2 linked regions of the Notamacropus eugenii genome follow. The protein of the gene in region 2 binds, or shares a complex with, the protein of the main gene of each other region. Links are inferred from orthologs where the notes say so. Each region holds a gene or a part of one and is shown on either strand. Other genes may lie near its edges.

The links.
Region 1: the proteins of SLF2 (region 2) and SIMC1 are in contact, whole or in part, in a cryo-EM structure (PDB 7T5P), measured with the Homo sapiens proteins. The link is inferred for Notamacropus eugenii from reciprocal best matches to the Homo sapiens genes SLF2 and SIMC1. Residues at the interface, in NP_060591.3 of Homo sapiens: His738, Val772, Leu775, Lys778, Asp783, Phe786, Gln790, Gly791, Phe792, Thr794, Ser795, Ala796, Tyr797, His798, Tyr799, Cys820, Ile821, Gln825, Ser828, Met831, Glu832, Ile835, Arg836, Asp838, Thr839, Ser841, Asp842, Ser843, Pro847, Lys919; in NP_001295125.1 of Homo sapiens: Tyr426, Arg428, Leu431, Lys435, Leu438, Pro440, Val442, His443, His444, Leu445, Phe447, Gln448, Arg470, Arg471, Phe490, Asp493, Pro497, Val521, Asp522, Lys525, Glu526, Tyr528, Met529, Met532, Lys533, Gln536, Leu537, Arg571, Asn658, Gln661.

What each region holds. Positions count from the first base shown.
Region 1 is NC_092872.1:412,834,949-412,845,608, reverse strand, and holds the start of SIMC1 (SUMO-interacting motif-containing protein 1), read right to left. Parts: upstream 5,077-10,660; 5' UTR 4,832-5,076; coding exon 4,445-4,831; intron 1-4,444.
Region 2 is NC_092872.1:178,891,104-178,901,845, forward strand, and holds the start of SLF2 (SMC5-SMC6 complex localization factor protein 2), read left to right. Parts: upstream 1-6,335; 5' UTR 6,336-6,476; coding exon 6,477-6,604; intron 6,605-10,742. UniProt on the Homo sapiens protein: Plays a role in the DNA damage response (DDR) pathway by regulating postreplication repair of UV-damaged DNA and genomic stability maintenance.

The sequences.
Region 1 (10,660 bases), about 230 Mb from region 2:
GTACCAAACATTAAACTTATTTTAAGGCAGAAAATATCAAAACTATCTGGAATTGTCTAAGACAGGAGTGGGGAAAAAAAAGAAATTATGAAGTCCTTTCAATGACTCAACTTCTACAAAGCCCTATTATTATCAATAGCAGTTATGTGTCTTTAAGACAGGAAAGACAACATGGTCTTACACAATCTTCAAAAAATTAAAAATGTGTATATCACAGAAAGCAAAGGAAGGGATATGGGACGTATTTCAAACAAATAAGGAACTTCAGAAACCAGATGTCAAGGACATTATTAGGAAAATGTATGATCAGATTACAGAAGACCAGCAAGGTGCCCCCTGGTTCTAAATCTATGATTTTAGGAACATTAGCAAGGAAATTAGAATTTTATTAGGTCACAAAAAAAGGATAATGGGCACAATAATTTGAAAGAAATAAAATTAACAAAAACATGGCAAGATGAAATTAGGAAGAGTTCGAGTGTAATAAAGCAAACTTCAGACAAGATGATGATGAAACTTAAGAGACTGTAAAACACAAACAAAGCACTTAGACTCAAAATAGATTGACTTAAATGGAAAGCAAAATAGTAAAACAGAAAAATCAGAAAAGCAACCCAGGAAATCACACAACTGGAAAACATTTAGTATTTATGTAGGTAAAACTAACAGATTAGGCAAGTAAAAAAAAGAAAGAAAATTTAAGTTCTAGGTTTCATGAAAAATGAAGAAAAGAATGACTATTATACTTCAGAAAATCATCTAGGGGGCAGCTAGGTGGCACAGTGGATAGAACACTGACCCTTGAGTCAGGAGGACCTGGGTTCATAGCCACTTGATGCTGGCTAAATCACTCAAGCCCAACTGCCTCGAAAAAAAAAATCATCTAGGAAAATTTCCCAGAAATACTGAAAAAAGGCAAAGATTATAAATAAACATAGCTTGCAAGAAACTTCAGATTTACCTCACTTAGATACATCAATGTCAAGCTTCAAAACTTCCATGACTAGTAGATGATTTTATAAGCAGGGAAAGGAAAATGCATAACATAAAAAACAAGAAAAAACTATCAATTTGAATTACATAAGATTTCAAAAATAAAAATCACAGAACTTGGAACATGATATACTAAAAGAGTACTGAAGAAAAGGTTAATTGCTACATTTAAGCATTTTTTAAAATGTAAAAGTCATTTAAGAATTTTAGTCTGAAAAAGTTGTGGTAGCTTTTAAAAGAAAACTCTAAAGTAGCCTTTACTATGCATAATAAGGAACAACACAGAGAATGAGATAAATTTTTACAACACACACACATGCGTACGTGTATACATACGTGTGTGTGTATATATATATGTATATGTTTGTTTTACATTGGCAAAAGTCCACCTTCTTTCCTTCCTACTCCAACCCTACTCCGTCCTTCAATCTCCCAGGCAATTGAGAATGAAAGAAAAACAAAATCTCTGTTATAAACATGTACAGTCAAGCAAAACAAATGTCCAAACAAAATATGACTCATTCTCCACTCTGAATTCTTCCCCTCTGTATTAGGAGATGGGTAGCATGGTTCATCATTGACCTTCTCTAACAACTCTGGTTGGTCATTGTGCTCATCAGAGTTCCTAATTTTTTCAAAGTTGTTTGTCTTTACCTCATTGCTATCACAATATAAATTGTTCTCCTGGTTCTTTTCACTTCACTGTATTAGTTCTTCACTCTGCATCATTTCATATAAGTCTTCCTGGGTTTTTTGGAAAACATCCCCTTCATAATTTTTTCCAGTACAATAGTAGCATTCTATCACATTTATATACTATATTTTGGCAATTTCCCACCTCATGGGCACTCCCTCAGATTCCTATTCTTTGCCATCTCCAAAAAAAAGTTGTAATTATTTTTTTTATATCTTTAGAGTTTATTTTGTTTAGGATTAATCCCTTCCTTAATCTGACTTCACTCTAATTTGCCCTTCTACCCTTCCCCTCCTATTTCCCTACTGAGTGAAATGAATTTCTGTATCTAAGTGTGTGTGTGTGTGTGTGTGTGTGTGTGTGTGTGTCTGTATGTGTGTATTTCCTTTTTTTTTTTCATCAGTTCAGATGAGAGTCAGCTTCAAGATGTCATCTAATCTAATAATTAGCAGGACTGGGCAGAGTTGCCCTCTATGATATACCTAGTAAGGGGTCATCCAACTGTCCCTGAAGCCATCCAGTAAAAGGAATTATTGCCTTAAACAGTAGCTCATTAAAGTTTTGGACACAACTCTTAATTTCTGGGAAATTATTCCTTCTACGAACCTGGAATCTATTAACTTTGGATATGCCAAATTTGAAATACCTGTAAGTCATGTAGTCAGAAATGTCCAACAGGCAGTTGGTGATCCTGCAGCTCAGGAGCGGGACTATGGCAAGATATGCTGATCTAAGAGCCATATGTATAGAGATGATAATTAAAACTACCTAATAAGGTCACCAGAAAAGAAAGTATAGAGAGAGGGTCCAGGATAAAGTCTTGGGGCAAATCAGTTTGATTTCGATATTTGTACATGTGAGATAAAGATGATAATCCAGCAAAGAAGGCTGAGAACAAAAAATGACCAGACATTTAAGGGGAGAATCAAGAGAACATAATGTCACAAAAACACAGAGATAAAAGAATATATCCAGGAGAAGCTGGTCAATAGTGCCAGATGCTACAGAGAAATCAAGAAGATTGAGAACTGAGAAAGGGTTAGGTTTAACATTTAAGAGCTAAATACAGGATGCTAAACTGAGAGGACAATTAGATCTAGTGGTTTGTTTTAAGGATGAGAGAAGCTTGCCATACCAATCAAACTAAGAAAAATTATTTTATGGAACTAGAAAAAATAATAACAAAATTCATCTGGAAGAACAAAAGGTCAATATCAAGGGAATGAACTCAACAAATATCTCTATTAAAGGCCTCATTTCTCAATTATACAGAGAACTGAGTCAAATTTATAAGAATCCAAGTTATTCCCCAACTGATAAATGGTCAAAGGATATGAATAGAAAATTTTCAGAAGAAATCAAAGCTGTCTATGGCCATCTGAATAAATGCTCTAAATGACTACTGATTAGATAAGTGCAAATTAAAAGGTACCACCTTACACTTACGAGACTGGCTAATACGACAGAAAAAAAAATGAAAAAGATTGGAAAGGACACTAATGCACTGTTGGTGCAGCTGTGAACTGATCTAACCATTCTGGAGAGCAACTGGCAGTTATGAACAAATTACGAACTATGTGTAGCCTTTGTTTCAGCAATACCACGAGTAGGCATATCTCAAAAATATTTTTAAAAAGGGGGAAAGGACCTATTTGTACAAAAATATTTACAGCAGCTCTTTTTGTGGCTGCAAAGAATTGGAAATTGACCGGATGCCCATCCGCTGGGAAACGGCTGAACAAGCTGTGATACATGATTGTAATGGAATACTATTGTGCCATAAGAAATGCTGAGCACGCTGACTTCAGAAACACCTAGAAAGATTTACACAGACTGATGCAAAGCCAAGCCAGCAGAAGCAGGAGAACGTTGTACCCAGTAACAGCAATGCCATACCATCAGCAGCTGTTCTCAGCAGTACCACGATCTAAGCCACTTCCAAAGGACTCCAGGCGAAAAATGCTATTTACCTCTAAAGAACATCTGAAGGAATCTGAAGGCAGACTGAGGCACACTATTTTTCACTTTATGTCTTCATCTGATCACCTGTTCCAGACCCTTTCATTTTATAGATAAGTGAGGCCTAGAAAAGTTTCCACTATGGTATCCTGTCCAAACCTATCAAAAATTAAAACGCTGCTACATTATTTTGATCTTTTGCTGAGATGTGGCCTTGGAAACAGAACTAGCCACTTCTCTGGACCTTCCAAAGGGGCCAGCAATCAGCCTTCTGGTTTATAAAAGGTCAGTTGGGTGGGCCTCTCCTGCGACCCAGGATCTGACTTATGAGGCTCCCATGGTGTTAAGCAGGCAGCCAGGTGTGGCAGCGGTCAGGGGCCGAGCACAAATCGCCCACCAGCTGGGTGACCCTGGGCACGTCACTTAACCCTACTGGCCTCAGTTTTTTCCTCTGTCAAGTGAGTTGAAGAAAGGGCAATCCATCATCCATCCAGACAACGACTGAACTACACGGTGCGTCCCGGCTTCGCAGAGCTGGGCGGAGACGCTCAACACCTCAGCTAACAGCTAACAGTGGGAGGGGGAGGGCCTTCATTTCTTCAGAAAGTCTCCAGGTTACCATGGAGAAAGGAGGCAGGGGGAGAAGGGAAGGAAGAAGGGAGGGGAGGAGGGGGAGAGGGGCTACCTCCTGGCTCTCAAGGAACTCACAGTCCAAACAAGAGACGTATTAATTAAAAGGAGGACAACAGAAGGATAAAGGGAGGAAGGGGGAGGTGGAGGGAGAGGGCACGGACTCACCACCACAGCTTGGCCACTGCACGCGGCTTGGGCCCCTCGGCTCCCGCCTCCGCGTCGCGGCCGAGTCCGCCGGGCTCCGCAGGCTCGACCAGCGCCGAGGCTTCGGCCGGGACTGCAGGGCTCGTCATCGCTGTCATCCGAAATCACAATGGGTTCCGTCATGGGATCGGCTTCTGAGGCGCGAGGGGAAGCGAGGGGCCCCGCTCCGCAGCGCCTCCGGCTGCGGCTGCGGCCATCCCGGCCTAGCCGGGGCCTCGCCGTCGCCTCCGCCCCTTCCCGCTCATATCCCTGTCCCAATTTCGGCTGCAGCGGGAGCCAGGGCCGCGGCCGGCGAGGGGGGCCCCGGGGCGCGCTCTGAGGAGGACAAGGAGGCCCCGCTCGAGTCATGGGTCCTCCCGGAGGGCCTGGGCTCGGACTGGGCCCCGAGGCTGGGGGGGAGAGGGAGAGCGCTGCGGGGCGAGGGCAGGGCCCCTCCACGCCCGCCAGCCCGCTCTCCTCGGGGCTTCTCGGGCCCCGGGCCTCCCTGATTACTCCTCCAGGTCGAGGGGCGGGAGGGCATGGGGAGGCGGAGCCTGGGCACGCGCTCAGCCCGGGGACGCGAGGAGACGGGGAGGGGGGAGCCTCGAAGCGGGCAGTGTTTTGGCGGGCGGGGCGGCGGCTGGCGGCGGCGCCTCTGACCCCTCCCACTCCACACCTAGAGCGCCCCGGAGGAGGGCATTTCCTGGGTAGTTATCCTTCGAAAGGGGAAATGAAACCGCCCCGGGGAGTGAAAGTTGGAAGGAGCGGACGAGGACTTCGAGGCCGGGTGGGGTGGTGGGTGGGGCTGCTGCTGACCCAGCGCCCCAGCTCTCGCTAAGCACCAGGGGCTCGTTTCAAGGCATTTTTTCAGTGCTTTTCGGGGCACCCTGCTGAGTTCTGAGGCTGAAAAGGCAAAAACACTTCCCTAACCCCCAGCACAAAAGATTAACAAACAAGATGAATTGAAAATAATAAAGGGAATGAAGCAATTCCTGTTCTCTCCGGAGAGACTATACGTACACATCAGTCAGTCATTTATTAAGCTCCTCCTGTGTGCTAGGCATTGTGCCAAGCACGGATATAAGAAGAAGCAAGAGTCCTTAGGGCTCTCGAGGAGCGTCAGTCTAGTAGGGGAGACAACACTTAAACACATACAAAGCAAGCGATATGTAGGATAAATGGGAAATAGGTCATACAGGGAAGGCCCTAAAATTAGGAGGGGCTGCGGAAGGCTTCCAGGGAAGATGGAATTTTAGTTGGGACTGAAGACAAAGAGGTCAGGTGAGTTGGCTAGAGCAGAGGAGGGAAGAGAAAATGCTGGGAACTGGGGAGTGTCTTCTTTGTGGAATTACCAGGGTTAACTGATTTGCCCAGTGTCATACCTAGGAAGTGTCCGAGGCCTAGTTATGAACTCAGGAAGATGAGTTTTCCTGACTCCAGACCTGGCACTCTTGTCTACCTGGCCATCCAGCTGCCTCAGGGGACATAGTAGATGGTGGTTAAGTTTAGCCTTATTAGGATGGTAGGGATTCCACTAGCTGAGATGAGGAGGAAATTCATGGTAGGCATGGGTACAGCCAGTGCCAAGGCTGAGATGGGAAATAGAATTTCCTGTACTGGCAACAAACAGAAGGCAGGCTAGTGTGGCCAGAATGTAGAGTGCCCCGGTGAGAATAATGTAAATTCAGTCTGAAAAAAATAGGTTGATGTCAGATCTTGAAGGGCTTAAAATGCCAAATTTTCCCTTAAAGGCAAAAGGAGACTACAAAGGCTTCTTGAGCAGGAGAGGGATAGAGTCAAAACTAAGATTCAGAAGTACCAATTTGGCAATTGTGTAGATTCAGGAAAACCAATACGGCAACTATTATTATAGTAAATTGACATATAATTGAGAGCCTGAATTAGGGTTGGTGCCTGATTGAATGCAGGTACAACAGATGTTGTGAATGCAGAATGGATAAAAACAACAATTGATTAGATATAGGGGGGTGAAGGAGAAAAGAGAAGAAGATGACTGAGTTTGAGAACATGGGAAGGATGATGGTATGTTCTGTTCATAATATATGGTTTTTCTAGTCCAATATTCCTGTAAATATGTTTTTCCTGTTTAGGATCTTTGCAACTGTAAATGTCGGTCTTCTTCTATGAACATAATAGAATTATTATTTTCTAGAGAGTAGAAGACATGCATGCATAGATAGATTGGTTAACTAAAGCCTTTTTCTCTTTAACATTAGACTCTTTGTGAAAATTCCATTCATCCCACATGTAGAATCCAATGAGCTGTAGCTATTTTCTTTAGCACCTTTTTGTGTCTCTTTTGCCAAGCTTTTAATTCTCTTTTCATAATTTTTTTGCATCACTCATTTCTTTCCCCAATTTTTCCTTTACCATTTTTATCTCTTTTTTTAGCCTTTCCAGGAATTCTTATTGGTCTTGTGTCCAGTTTATATATTTTTTCTTTGAGCTTTCTTTGTAGTTGTTTTCATGTTGTTGTCTTCTAAATTTGTATTTCTATCTTCTGTGTCACCATAGTAGTTTTTTAGGGTCAGATTTTGTTTGCTCATTTTTCTAGTTTATGTCTTGACTTAGCTTTATTTTAAAGTTGGGCTCTGTTTCTAGCATGGGATTGGGGGCGCTGTCCCAAGCTTCAGGCTTTTTCCCCACTGCTGTTTTCAGAGTTAGTTCTGTGGGCTAAGTTCCAAGGTAGTGTGATCTAGGAAGAAGTGTGGTCACTGCTCTCCTCATCTGTGCTCTAGTCTTTACCCAGGAAGGGTCTCTGCTCTCCTGCAGCCACAAGCACCAGTGCTTTTCTTTGCCCTGGAACTTCGACCAGGAACTGTCTAAATGCAACATGGTTCTGCATCCAGTGCCAGATCAGGGTCCCCTGTAATTTCTTTCTGAGCAGTTGCCCAATGCCCTTTCTGTCTTTGAGTGGTGACAACTCCCCAAATTGCTGCTGTAGATCTGTTGTCTCCATTTCCTCCAAGGTCAACAGCTGATGTCACTATGGCCAGCCTTTCTACCTCAGTGTCACAGACCTCTCCTTCTTACTTCCTATCAGGGTAGGGAACCTGCAGCCTTGAGGCCACACTTGAGTTCCCCATTTCTGTCTAAGTTGTTTTGGGCTGGAAAAATGTTTCTCCCAAAACCTTTTAACCATCTTTTAACCATCTAAAATTCCTACCTTTTTTCTTTGTTGAGTTTTATGTATTTCTACACCAAACTATTTGTGTATGTGCTTCTGGCTGCTGTTTCAGGGAGGGAGTGGAGAAGGAGGGGGAGGGAGGGGAAAAAGATAATGCTGTAGGAGGTCCTGTACTTTACTGTGTGTCTGGCACTAAGGATACAAATACAATAAAAATGAAAGTGTCTTTGTCCTCAAGGTACTTAGATTCTAATGGGGGAAGACGACTCATAAAAATAGCTGAAAAATGGGGATAAGATGGAAGGGAGGTAGCTCCCCCAGAAAAGGGAGTCTGAAGAGTAAGCAGCACATCTGGAAACGGAGTGAAGCATGATCAGTGTGGGCCTAATGGAGTGCTTAGGTGCATGTTCTTGGATCCCAGTTCTAAAAATCACATTTCTCTCTAAAAATCACATTTCTCTCTAGGCTCAAAACACTATCCCAGGCAGTTTCTCTCCAGCTCAAAGTACAGGACCTCCTACAGCCATCTCTCCTACAGGGAAGCAGCTCCTGTGGAGAGAGGAACAGCCCTCCCCACCAACTGCCAGACAGGGCCATATACAGGGGAGGCATTCGATCTACCTGAAGCAGCAAAATATCCTGAGGGAGATACAGGGGGTAGCTTATACAGAGTACCACCTTGATCACCCTGTCCCCCCAGATCCAGATGGTCATAGCCCAGAACCTTTAGGCAAAGAACATAGGAACGTATCCCAAGTTTCTCTCCAGCCGGCCCTAGTAAAACTGTTATCTCTCTTCTTGATACAGTAGCCAGCCATACCTATAGAACTTATTAGTCTGAACCAGCTGTGTATTGGCTGAATGGGCTATGCGCTGGGTCATAATGACATTTACTACTCACTGACCAATCATATGTATCCTAGACTTAAACATACTTATACTCCCTTACGTTTATCTTGTCTAACAAGACAGTGATGAGAGCAGCCTGATATTCCTTAGTCAGCCCTGACCTTTAGTTGACTTAGTGGTATTTCAGGCCTAAAACCACACCTCCATGTAGCCCCTCCCCGCCTTGGGCTATTTCCTGATGAACTCTGAGTAAAATACCTGCTCAGTAGATACAAAAAGTACATATTCCTTTAAGAACTAACCACTCCTTAACCACTCCCTAATCCTGCCCAGAATCACCTAGTTAGCATATTTGGTACATGTTTTACTATAGAATATCCTAGATAAACATTACCTGTATCCCTCTAAGGTTACAGGTTCTCTAAGAATTCTTGTCCTTTGAAAAGCGTAATAAATCTTTACCTTGACCTCAAGAATGCTTGAGTCAGCGAATTCATCCCAGGAGACCTGCCCTTGTACTCTGGTGTCTGTGGGGGGGGTCTCATCCCCAGCCCTCTCCCCCATCCAACTATCATCAGGCCTATGCCTAATATGAAGGCTCCCAGGATGGAAATCACCAGTAGTATAGGGAGGCTGAGGTGGAGAAGGAATGTTCTAGGATTGGAAGGCCTTAAACACTGAGAGAATTTGTAGAGTGAGAAGGCAACTGAGCCATGGTGGCAAAGTACAGAGAGTTGAAAACATTGTAGGGAGGTGAATCATCCATTGGAACCAAGGAATCAATAAATCATTTATTTATTAAGCATCTACTACATAATCTGAACTGGGCTAACTATTAAGGATCAAAGGACAAAAATGAAATTGTTGGATTCCTGCCTTCGAGGCATATATATTTGTAACATGCATTCCTAAACCTCGGACATTTTGCAACCTCTGCATATGCAAAAGAATATTCTAATACTGGAATGGTGACAGGATACCAAATGCTGGCAGGAGTAGTTGATTTTTGATGGAAGAGCTTTGGGGAAGAAATATATTCTTTCAGAGACACTCATTGATTTAGAAATTCTCTGGAACCCCTCCAATTTGGAGAGAAAGATCCTCAACATATCCAAAGTCTCTGAGAAGGCAAGGTGGAAACTGGGGTGAGATCCTTCTAGGTGAGATCAGGATTTCTCTCTCTTGGTTCAAGCTGAAATATTATCTTGCATCCATCAGAAGAAATCATGTGCTTTTGGGTATTTTCTTGCTCATTCTATATTTGTATTACCACCATTTTTGTTGTTGTTGTTTTGCTTACTTGCTATTCAATATTTCTTTGCATAACCAGTCTTTCTGTTGTGGGGGAAGGAGCCAAGCTGACTTGGGTAAGTTTGGGGATACCTTTTCTCTTAAGTATTAGTGACCAAGGAAGTGGCTTTTCTTTTGAAGTTACTGTACCTTGTACAGCAACATTTAGGCAGGCAGATAGATATACTATTGGTTCTTATCATTCATAGTAATTATAGCCTAGAGTTACCGTGCACAAAGAATTAGCAAATACTGAACCATGGTTCCTAGAGACAATACATGGTTGGATTCCGAGAGCCTCTGATCACATCATTTGCTTTAGCACTTTCCAGAGCTGCCTCACAGATTAGCTGAATTTCCATTTCCTTGATCTATTATTGATTCACGCAGAATAACCTAAAGGAAGCTTCTCTAATACTTGTCTTTTCTCTGTGATGCAAACCTTCCTGTCCCATTAACTCTTTAGCACCATCCCTGGGAGCCATTTTAAACAGTGGGATCACCAGCAAACGACACAAAAATTCGGAAACAAAAAGCGAGGTTTAACAGATCGCAAGAAGGATGATTGTTTGTAATATGAAATTGAAACAAGAAGGCAGAGGGTCTCCAGAAGGTTGTTGGATCTCAGCTGGAAACGTGGGCATAGGGTGACTCAAAGTTTTGCCTGTCTGGGTTACAAATATATTTTAGCAAGTAGGTGAAATTGCAAATATGAAATCTGTAAATAATGGAGATCATATATATTTGTAGTCCGTTACTCCTCTCAGGGACTGGGGAGAAAAGTTTACCCAAACCCATGGCCCTTCTGCTCCTCTCACGGTAGGTGTTAGTCTCTCTCGGACAGGACTGGGCAAGATTCGGGAGATAACGACCGAAGCCTCTGGAGAGACTGCATTTTGCTTGAAGGTGCT
Region 2 (10,742 bases):
TCTTAAGAAGCGGGCAGTCTTGGTCAAAGACAAAAAGACAGAACTCCAAAGCACTAAAAGATTTATAGCAGCATTTTTTTTTTTTTGTCATAGCAAATGACTGGAAATAAAGGAGATGCCTCTCAATTGGGGAATGGTTAAATAAACTGTATAATGTATAGTGGAATATTATTGTACTATAAGAAATGATGAATATGATAAATGCAGAGAAGAATGGAAGACCTCTTAAAGTGATGCAACGTGAAGTAAACAGAACAAGGAAACAATATAGACTGACTACAACAATGAAATGGATACAAGACAATCAAAACTGAATGTTCCAAATTATAATGACCACGCTTGACCCCAAAGAAGAACTTTGAGAAGATATCTCCCTATCCCAGCTTCTTTGCCAAGCTTAGGGAGTAGGGGCTTGGCGTTCAGTATTGCACATAACATCTGACTTTTCAATATATTGATTTACTGAACTTTTTTCTCCTCTTTTTTATTCTTCATTTTAAGGATGACTCCTTGGAAAAGGGAGGAGGAAGGGGACTACTGGAAAACCTATGTGATATTAAAAACATAAAAGATGCTGATGAACTTTTTTTTTTAGGAAGTAGGTTGCCTGGTATAGTTTAATAAGTCTTGGAAATCAGGAAGACTGGGGTTCAAATCCTACCAGACATTTATTATCTGTTCAGCCACAGGCAAATCATTTAACCTTTTGAGCTTCAGCATTCTATAAAATGGAGATGATATAAATTCTACCTACCTCATAGGTTTGTTTCAAGTTTTTAAGTACTATATGTCAGTTATTATTGTTGTACAGAAACAAAGACCTATTTTTAAATTATCAGTGTTATGTTGTGCTGTTAGTTTTTGCACATGAAACACAGCACTCTTGGAGGAATTAAAAATGAATATCAAACAGAAGGGGAGAGGTGGGTGATGGATGTGAATAGGTGGTAACACATAACAAGTAAGGAACTTTGAAGAAAAAGAGGAAGAAAAGATGTCACCAGAAAAACATATGCTACAAAACCAAAAAGATGGGCTGACCACATGATGAATGTTGGAGATGATAATAACACAGTATACTACTGGCATCTTCACCAGGTCAAGAAGGCCTGCAGCACCATGGGTGGGGACCCTCAGTAGTGAATTTACAATAGGATGCTGACAAGCTCTTCATTATTAGAGGTAACATCCAAATCAATGAGATCACAGATATGTTTTAATATTTTAGAACTGAAGAGAAAATTTTTAAAAATCAGTCCCTTCATTTTTAGGAGAAACAGGCCCAGAGAGATGAAAAACTTGCCAACACAACTAGCAAGTAATAGCGCCAAACCTTAAACACTCTGATTCCAAATTTTGTACTTTTTCCCACTGTACCTTTATGGTTCTTTATTTTAAGGATTTTCCCCTCCCAATTCAAAACGAAAACAGGACACTTTTTTTGAAGTCTTTTTTAAATGAGTTTTTTATTTTTATTTTATTTGTTTTCAGTGTTCTACTATCACTTCCATATAGCTTAGATTTTTTCTCCTCCCTCCTCCTCCTTCCCCCCACCTGCCCATTCCCTCCCTGAGACAGCATACAATTTTATATAGGTTCTATACATACATTCCTATTAAATACATTTTCACCTTAGTCATGTTGCATAGAATTAAAATGAATGGGAGAAATCATAAAACTAAACAAAACAAAATACAAAAGAAAATGGTCTGCTTCATGTTTCTTTCTCTGGATATGGAAGGCATTTTGCCTTAAGAGACCATTGGGAATTTTTTAAGTACCTGCATTGCAATGAAGTACTAAGTCTACCAGAAAAATTCCTTGAACATGGTGGTTGTTGCTGTGCACAAAGTTCTCCTGGTTCTGCTCCTTTCACTCAGCATCAGATGATATAAGTCTATCCAGGTCTCTCTGAAGTCTTCCTATTCATCATTTCTTACAGCCCAATAGTATTCCATTACATCCATATACCACAATTTATTCAGCCATTCCCCAGTTGATGGTCATCTTCTTGGCCACCACAAAGAGAGCTGCTATAAATATTTTTGTAAATGTGGGACCCTTTCCCATTTTTAGGATCCCTTTGGGATAGAGTCCTAGAACTAGCAATATAGCTGGGTCAAAGGGTATGCACATTTTTGTAGCCCTTTGGGCATAGTTCCAAATTGCTCTCTAGAATAGTTGGATCAGCTCACAGCTCCACCAACAACGAATTAGCATTCCAACTCTCCCACATTTTCTCCAACATTTATCATCTTCCTGGAAAACAGGATACTTTTAAAAGAATGCTCAGAGCAGGCACAGTCTCTAGAGAAAGGGTCTAGATGGTCCTCTGTTTCATCTCCATTCAAGAATTTCTAGCCAAGATAATTTTGCTTCTCAATATATCAGTATTTTTTTTTTATCAGAAGTCATCATTGTCTCAATGGGAACAAGAACTCCAGGTCCACCAGAAGTTCAAATGTTCCCCAACAATTATTTTGGGTAGATATTTTACATAAAGATGCCCATATCTTGCTTCTCCAGTTTATTCATGGTATCAATCTTTATACCTAAATCATGTATCCATTTGGACTTTATTCTTGTGTACGGTGTCAGGTATGGGTCTATGCCTAATTTCCACCACACTGTTATCCAGTTTTCCCAGCAATTTTTGTCAAACAATGAGTTCTTATCCCAGAAGCTGGGGTCCTTGGGTTTATCAAACAGAAGGTTGCTATATTCCTTGCCTACTGCATCTTGAGTGCCAAGTCTATTCCACTTGTCTACCTCTCTGTTTCCTAGCCAATACCAAGTGGTTTTGATAATTGCTGCTTTATAGTACAGTTTGAGGTCTGGTAGCGCTAGGCCACCTTCCCAAGCATTTCTTTTCATTAGTCCCTTTGATATTCTGGACCTTTTGTTTTTCCAAATGAATTTTGATATTATTTTGTCCAGCTCTAGAAAGTAATTGTCTGATAGTTTAATTGGTATGGCACTAAATAAGTATAATAATTTGGGTAGAACTGTCATTTTTATTATATTAGCACGGCCTACCCATGAGCAACTAATGTTTTTCCACTTACTTAAATCTGACTTTATTTGTGCAAAAAGTGTCTTGTAATTGTGTTCATATAGTCCCTGGGTTTGTTTTGGCAGGTAGACTCCTAAGTATTTTATACTGTCTACCCTAACTTTAAATGGGATTTCTCTTTCTATCTCTTGCTGTTGGACTTTGTTGCTAATATATAGGAATGCAGAAGATTTGTGTGGGTTTATTTTGTACCCTGCAACTTTGCCAAAGTTGTTTATTAATTCTAGTAATTTTTTACTTGAATCTCTGGGATTCTCTAGGTAAATCATCATATCATCTGTATTTATCAGATCTATGGAGAAGGGAAGAATTCTTTACTAAAGGAGAGCTAGAATGCATTATGAAATGCAAAATGGATAACTTTGATTACATTAAACTGAGAAGTTTTTGCACAACCAAACCCAATGCAACCAAAATCCGGAGGGATGTAGTAAATTGGGAAAGAATTTTTACAGCTAAGCTCTGGGATAAAGGCCTCATTTCTAGAATATATAGAGAACTGATCCAAATGTATAATCATACAAGTCATTCCCCAATTGATAAATGGTCAAAGGATATGAACAGGCAATTTTCAGAGGAAGAGGTTAAGGCTATCTATAATCATATGAAAAAATGCTCTAAATCACTATTGGTTAGAGAGATGCAAATCAAAACAACTCTGAGGTACCACATCACACCTATAAGATTGGCAAACATGACAGAACAAGAAAATGATAAATGCTGGAGAGGATGTGGGAAAGTTGGAACACTAATTCATTGTTGGTGGAGCTGCGAGCGCATCCAACCATTCTGGAGAGCAATTTGGAACTATGCCCAAAGGGCTACAAAAATGTGCATACCCTTTAACCCAGCAATATCGCTACTAGGACTATATCCCCAAGAGATCATAAAAATGGGAAAGGGTCCCACATGTACAAAAATATTTATAGCAGCACTCTATGTAGTTGCCAAAAACTGGAAGTCAAGGGGATGTCCATCAATTGGGGAATGGCTGAATAAATTATGGTATATGAATGTAATGGAGTACTATTGTGCCATAAGAAATGATGAACAAGAAGACTTCAGAGAGGCCTGGAAGGACTTATATGACCTGATGCTGAGTGAAAGGAGCAGAACCAGGAAAACTTTATGCACAGCAACACAAGAACTTCTTACCATCCCAATGGAGGATCTCAAGGCAAAATGCCTGCCACACTCAGAGAGAGAAATATGGAAGTCACTCACATATTGTAGCAGATCATGTTTGTGTATGTGTATGTGTTTGTGTATCATGTTCTGATTTGTTATACGATTTCTTTCATTTATCTTAGTCTGACTACATAGCATGACTATAGTGAAAATATACTCAATAGGAAAGTATATGTAGAATTCATACAGAATTGTATGCAGTCGTGGGGAGGGAGGGGGGGAGTAGGGGGTAGGTGGGGGGGATAAAATCACAATTGTATGGCAGTGATTGTTAAACATTACAAAATAAAAAAAAAAAATAAAGAACTAAAAAAAAAAAAAAGATGCCCATATCTTACAGGGCAGAGGGAACATATGGGGATAAATTGGGCCAGGTTAAAAAAATATATTACTACAATTTATTTTAAAATATAAAAGGGAATATATTCTTTTTTTCATAATTGAATGCAGATCGAAGTACACTATTTTTTGTTTCTTTTTTCTTGTGGTTCCTCCCATTGGTTCTAATTCTCCTTTACAATATGACTAATGTAAAAATAGGTTTACTATGAATGTATATGTAGAACCTATATCAGATTGCGTGCCATCTTGGGGAAGGTAAGAAAATTTAGAAAACAAAATCTTATGGAAGTGAATGTTGAAAACTAAAAATAAATAAATTAATTAAAAATGTAATAGATACAAAATATAAAAGGGAGAAAACCAGCTCATTTGGGTATGAGACTTCTGGGTCAGCCTGGTTTCACTAGAAGTATGTATATTACTATTCTTGTAAGATGAAACCATATCAAAATTATGGCTCATGCTAAGTATTTAACACATCACCTTGCTTTCAAGCCTCCAAAGCTAAGGTTAAAGAGAGAGTTGAGGCAAAATGACGGGGCCAAAGAGATGTCTCCCCAAAGATGCCCCCAGAGATGCCAAACACTCCCTCTCTGAATTTCAGTTAACTCAAAGCATTTCTGTAGGGACCAAAGGTCAGTCATCTTGAACAGACCTCTCCTCTGGCTTCCTTTCACTTGGTCCAATGGCTCTTAAAAGTCCTTGGGCAGTCATTTCCCACTCTAGGTGGCCCCATTTGGGGTTTTCTTGGCAAAGGGACTGGAGTGGTTTGCCACTTCCTTCTCCAGATCATTTTACAGGTGAAGAAATTGAGGCAAACAGGATAAGTGACTTGGACAGGGTCACACAGCCTGTAAGTGTCCGAAGCCACATCTCCCCCATTCCAGGCCGGCCCCCCGTCCCTTGCCATCTGACTGCCCCTGTGTATTCTGCAGGGATGGATGTTTAAGATATCAAAACTAAAATGGGCTAAAGTCCCCCTCCTCTTCCTCCTGAACTAAGTGGGCAAGACCCTTGGGATGAGGGGACCCTGGGGGGCAAGGCGCCCTCAGCCCTCGGCGCCACACTGGGCACCACTCTTCAAAGACTGGGCTCTCTGAATTCCTGGTCTCTCCATTCTCTCCTAGTTATGCCGGATTCCTTGTCTGTTTGCCTGACTCTCCCCCATTAGAGCGTACGGCCGGGGAGGGCGGGTATGGCAGCCTGCACAGCGTCGGGCACACAGCGGGAGGCTAGGGAGTGCTCGGAGACTTAGTTCAAACCCAGCCTCAGATGCGTGACTCTGGGCGAGGCGCTTCATCCTCTTGGCCTCAGTTTCCCCATCTGTAAAATGCGCCGGAGAAGGGATTGAGAAACCACTCCAGTATCTCTGCCAAGAACACCCCAAATGGGGTCCGGGAGAATCGGACCCAAGGGAAACGACCTGACCGGAAGGAATGCTCACTGACCGCGGGCTTGGTCAGGGGCCCTGCAGCCCAGGTCGCCAGGGGCAGCTTTCCGCTGGACCACTGACAACCACTGACCCCAGAGGCCCTAGAGAGCGAAGGGCAGGGCTCGCGCCTCCCTCGCGTGCGCCGAGTAATTTCCTGGTTTGGGATGTTTGGCCCTGGGTTCACATTAAAAAAAAAAAAGGCAGGGGCGGAGTCTGCGCATGCGTATGGACACCCTCGAGTTCCAGCCAATCAAGCCGATCAACACACCAATCCCGGCGGCAAAGCCCGCCCCCTTCTGGTGGCTTGGTTCCTTCCCGCCAGCCTCTGCACCCCTGTCTTAGAGGTAACTGTTGTGAAGAGGGAGGGGGCGTGGAAGTGCCAGCAGCCGTCCCAGGCTGCCTGGAGTCCCCGAACCGGACCCCCAGCGCGGCGACGGGGACATGCAGCTGGGCGGCGTGGCCGCTAGGCCCTCCGCGGACTCTTCTCCAGCCTCACTGTCGCGCTGCCGCTTGAGGCCCGGTGCGGCCCGGCCTGGTTCGGGGAGGAGTGAGGAGAGGCGCGGTGACAGGTACGGTGGTGGGGCCGTGGGCCTAGGGGCTGACTGCGGCCCGAAGGGCTTCTCCAGCCTACCGCCGGACCCCTGGGACCGGACAGCCCCCCTCCCCCACTGCCCGAGCCTCCCAGGACGTGGAGCGGTCAGGGTCCTGTGTGCGTGCGCGCGCGCGTTTGTGTGTGTGTTTGTGTGCTTGTGTGTTTGTGTTTGTGCGTGTGCGTGCGCGCTGCACCCTAGAAGTGGGCTCAGAGGAAGCGATATTTCCTGTGTGTGTGTGTGTGTGTGTGTGTGTGTGTGCGCGCGCGTGTGTTTGTGTTCGTGTGTGTGTTTGTGTGTGTGCGTGCGCGCTGCACCCTAGAAGTGGGCTCAGAGGAAGCGATATTTCGTGTGTGTGTGTGTGTGTGTGTGTGTGTGCGCGCGCGTGTGTTTGTGTTCGTGTGTGTGTTTGTGTGTGTGTGCGTGCGCGCTGCGCCCTAGAAGTGGGCTCAGAGGAAGCGATATTTCCTGTGTGTGTGTGTGTGTGTGTGTGCGCGCGTGTGTTTGTGTTCGTGTGTGTGTTTGTGTGTGTGCGTGCGCGCTGCACCCTAGAAGTGGGCTCAGAGGAAGCGATATTTCCTCTGTGTGTGTGTGTGTGTTTGTGTGTGTGTGTGCTTGTGTGTGTGTGTGCGCGCGTGTGCGTGTTTGTGCGTGTGCGTGCGCGCTGCACCCTAGAAGTGGGCTCAGAGGAAGCGATATTTCCTGTGTGTGTGTGTGTTTGTGTGTGTGTTTGTGTGTGTGTGTGTGCGCGTGTGCGTGTGCGTGTTGGTGCGTGTGCGTGCGCGCTGCACCCTAGAAGTGGGCCCGGAGGAAGCGATCTTTCCCGCGGTGTTCGTGTTTTGCATCCCTAAGAGGTCCGCGCTTCCTGGTCCACGGACAGCATTGTTTACATTTTCTCCTGGGGGGGTGTGTGTGTGTGTAAAACTGTGCGGTGCGTGGGTCTGCCCTCTCCCCCGTCGCTTCTTTCTGTCTTGCCAGTTACTGGCGGTGCTTTTTCCTTCTCATCTTTAAGCATTTCCCCCTCTCGCCAGCTCCCCACCAGCTTGTCCACAGGGCATCTTTGTGCACTTTTGTGTTTTTACTTAAAAAAAATTCTTTATGCTGTTTTCTCAATTGAGAAATGAATTTATTTTCCCTAAATTTTCTCCCCCATCCCTGTTTTATGTCCTCTGGTTACTTTCCGCCAGGCTTACTCGCTTTTTGTTTCGTTTTCTTTTTGTGTGCGTGCTTAAAATTTAAAAAAAGACTTGATCCATATATGTCTTGTCATTTCAAACCCATCTGGCGTCTTACCTTAGCGTTTTTAATTTAGCTTTGAGCTAATCTACGACTCGGGCGCTTTAGTATTTTTTAAAATACAAAGACTTTCAAGTGTTGAAATACATAGAACTAGTTAGAAATGCAAATTAAAACCACTCTAAAATCCCTCCCCTCCCCTGTGACTCACCCACATCCACAAAAGTCAGGATTAGTGGGGCTGTGGGAATATTGGTGCTGCTGTTGTGAATTAGGCTAATTATTCTTGAATATTACGTGAAATTTTGGGAGAAAAAATCCCTAATGAACCATTCATACCTGTTTTAGACAGGCACTATATGTTCCAAATTATTTGTAGCAGTCTTTTACAGAGGCAAAACAGTTAACAAAGTGGTGAGTGGCCAAACAAAGCAAGGTATAGGAACCATGAGAAAGGGAATCCGGAGAAACATGGTAAAACTTGTATGAATGGATGCAGAGCAAAGTGAATTGTACTGGGAGAGTGGACGACTATAAAGTAAAGGGAAATAATATTTGCAGTAACTAGCACTGGTCTCAACTAACTTTCTGCCTCATTAGGGAGGTGAGTGTGCATAAGGACACAGAAGCTACTTTTGTAGGAGTTTGGTTGGTAATTTTTGCTTAAATATTTTTTACAGGGGAAAATGAGGTTGATACATTTAGAAATGACAAGAGTTAAAAACAGCTTTCAATAAAACTTTTTAAAGAGACAGGTAAAATGAATATTTAAGATGAAATTCCTTGATATTTATGGCACAATATGGTTTCCTGGAAATTTTTGTGTGTAATGACTTTCAGGTAGATTGCTTGGTACTTTGTAGCACTTCCTTAATTATTCTCTCTTGATTTCATTCAGACTTATGTTACTAGGATAGTGTATATTGCTATGCCAATTAAAGCTTAATACTGCATTAAGACTTTAGGGACACCCTGCATTTTCCAAAATACCTTTAATAAGGCATTTTGTCTTTCATTTTTCTCTCAGTTGCAATTGAAAAACTAATTATTTTGTGTGCTTTGGGAGACTAATTCCCAGGTATTTTATGCATTTTATAGTTATTTGGAATGGATTCCAGTTTTTATTGTTGCTTCTTATCATTTGTTGTTATTTTATAGAAATGCTGTTGATTTTTGATGATATATTTTGTGTCCTGAAACTTTGTTGAAGCTGTTAATTGTCTCAGTGAGTATCTCTGATGAATCTCTGGGGTTATCCAAGTAAACCATCATATCTTTAGCAAAAAGAAATAGTTTTATCTCTTTACCTCTTTATTCCTTTTATGTGGTAGCTAGATGGTGAGGTGGATAAGAGCACAGGGCCTGGAGTCTTGAAGATCTGAGTTCAAATTCAGACTCAGACACTTAGTAGCATCTGTGCCACCCTGGGCAAGTCGCTTAACCCTGTTTGCCTCAGTTCCTCATCTGTTAACTTAGCTGAAGACAGAAATAGCAAACCATTCCAGTATCTTTACCAAGAAAACCCCAAATGGAGTCCTGAAGAACCAGATCTGGCTGAAAATTCTTTTAATTCCTTTCTCATTTTACTGTTATTGTTAGCATTTCCAAAACTATATCACATAATGGTGAGAAGAGTAGGCATCTTTGCTTCACTCCCGAATTTATTGGAAAAGATTCTAGTGTATTTCTGTTGCATGTGATACTTGCTTTTGGATTTAGGTAGATGCTTTTTATGATATTTTTAAAAAAGCTCCCTCTATGCTGTGCTTGTTAGAATTTTTAGCATGAAAGAGTATTTTACTTTATAAAAGGCTTTTTCTGCATCTGTTGATGATCATGTGGTTTTAGATGTTTTGTTTTTAATATGATTAAATTAATGATATGATAATATTACGATAATAATATGATAATAATAATATGATTATGTTGACGTTTCCTAATGGTGAGCCCTCCTTGTTTCCCTGGTACAAATTCTACTTGATCAAAAGAAATTATTTCTTGTATGAATTCTTAGAGTCTGTTTAATAGGATTATGTTTAAGTTTTTTGTCAAGGTACATTAATGATTTGTTGGTCTGTGGTTTTCTTTCAATCTTTCCCTGGTTTAGGTATTAGGATTATATTTGTTTCATAAAAAGATTCTGATAGGGTACTTTCTCAGTTTTTGAGAGTAATTTCTAGAGTGTGTTTGCTAATTGTTTTTTAAAAGTTTGATAGAATTCTCTGATGAATACAATAGGATTAGGAGTTTTGGTTTTTTTTCCTTTTGGTAATTCCTTTATACCTAGATCTCTTTCTTTTCCTCAGATTAGGTTATTTAAGGTCTTGACATAGCCTTCTGATAGTTTGGTCATTTTTGTTTTTGAAGGTATCCCTCTATTTCTTTTGTGTTCTAAGTTTTATTAGCATATAACTGTACGTAATGTTTTGATTATTTTTCTTATAACTTTGTTGTCATTTCACCTTGGTTATTTGCTGTTTTATTGATTTGACTTTCTTCTCTCTTTAATCAGAATTGCTACAGATTTGTCAATTTTATTAGTCTTTTTAAAGAACCAGCTTTTAGTTTTATTTATCATTTCTATTTGTTTCCAGTTTATATCCCATCTAATTTTTAATATCTCTTCTTTTTTTTGCTTATTTTAGGTTTACTTATTTATTTTTACATTCTTGTTGAATACATATTCAGTTTCTTAATCTCTTTTTCTGTTTTGTTCGTGTATGGTTGTAAGATGTCAGCCTCAGAGTTTGGTCTAAGAAAGACAGAGAAAGAGTAGGTTGTTTGTTTCTCTCAATTGGGCAGAGCATGCATGCAGAGAGCAGTTCCAGACGGCTGGTTTGTCTTTCTTAGACCAAACTCCAAGGTTGACATTGGATATGAT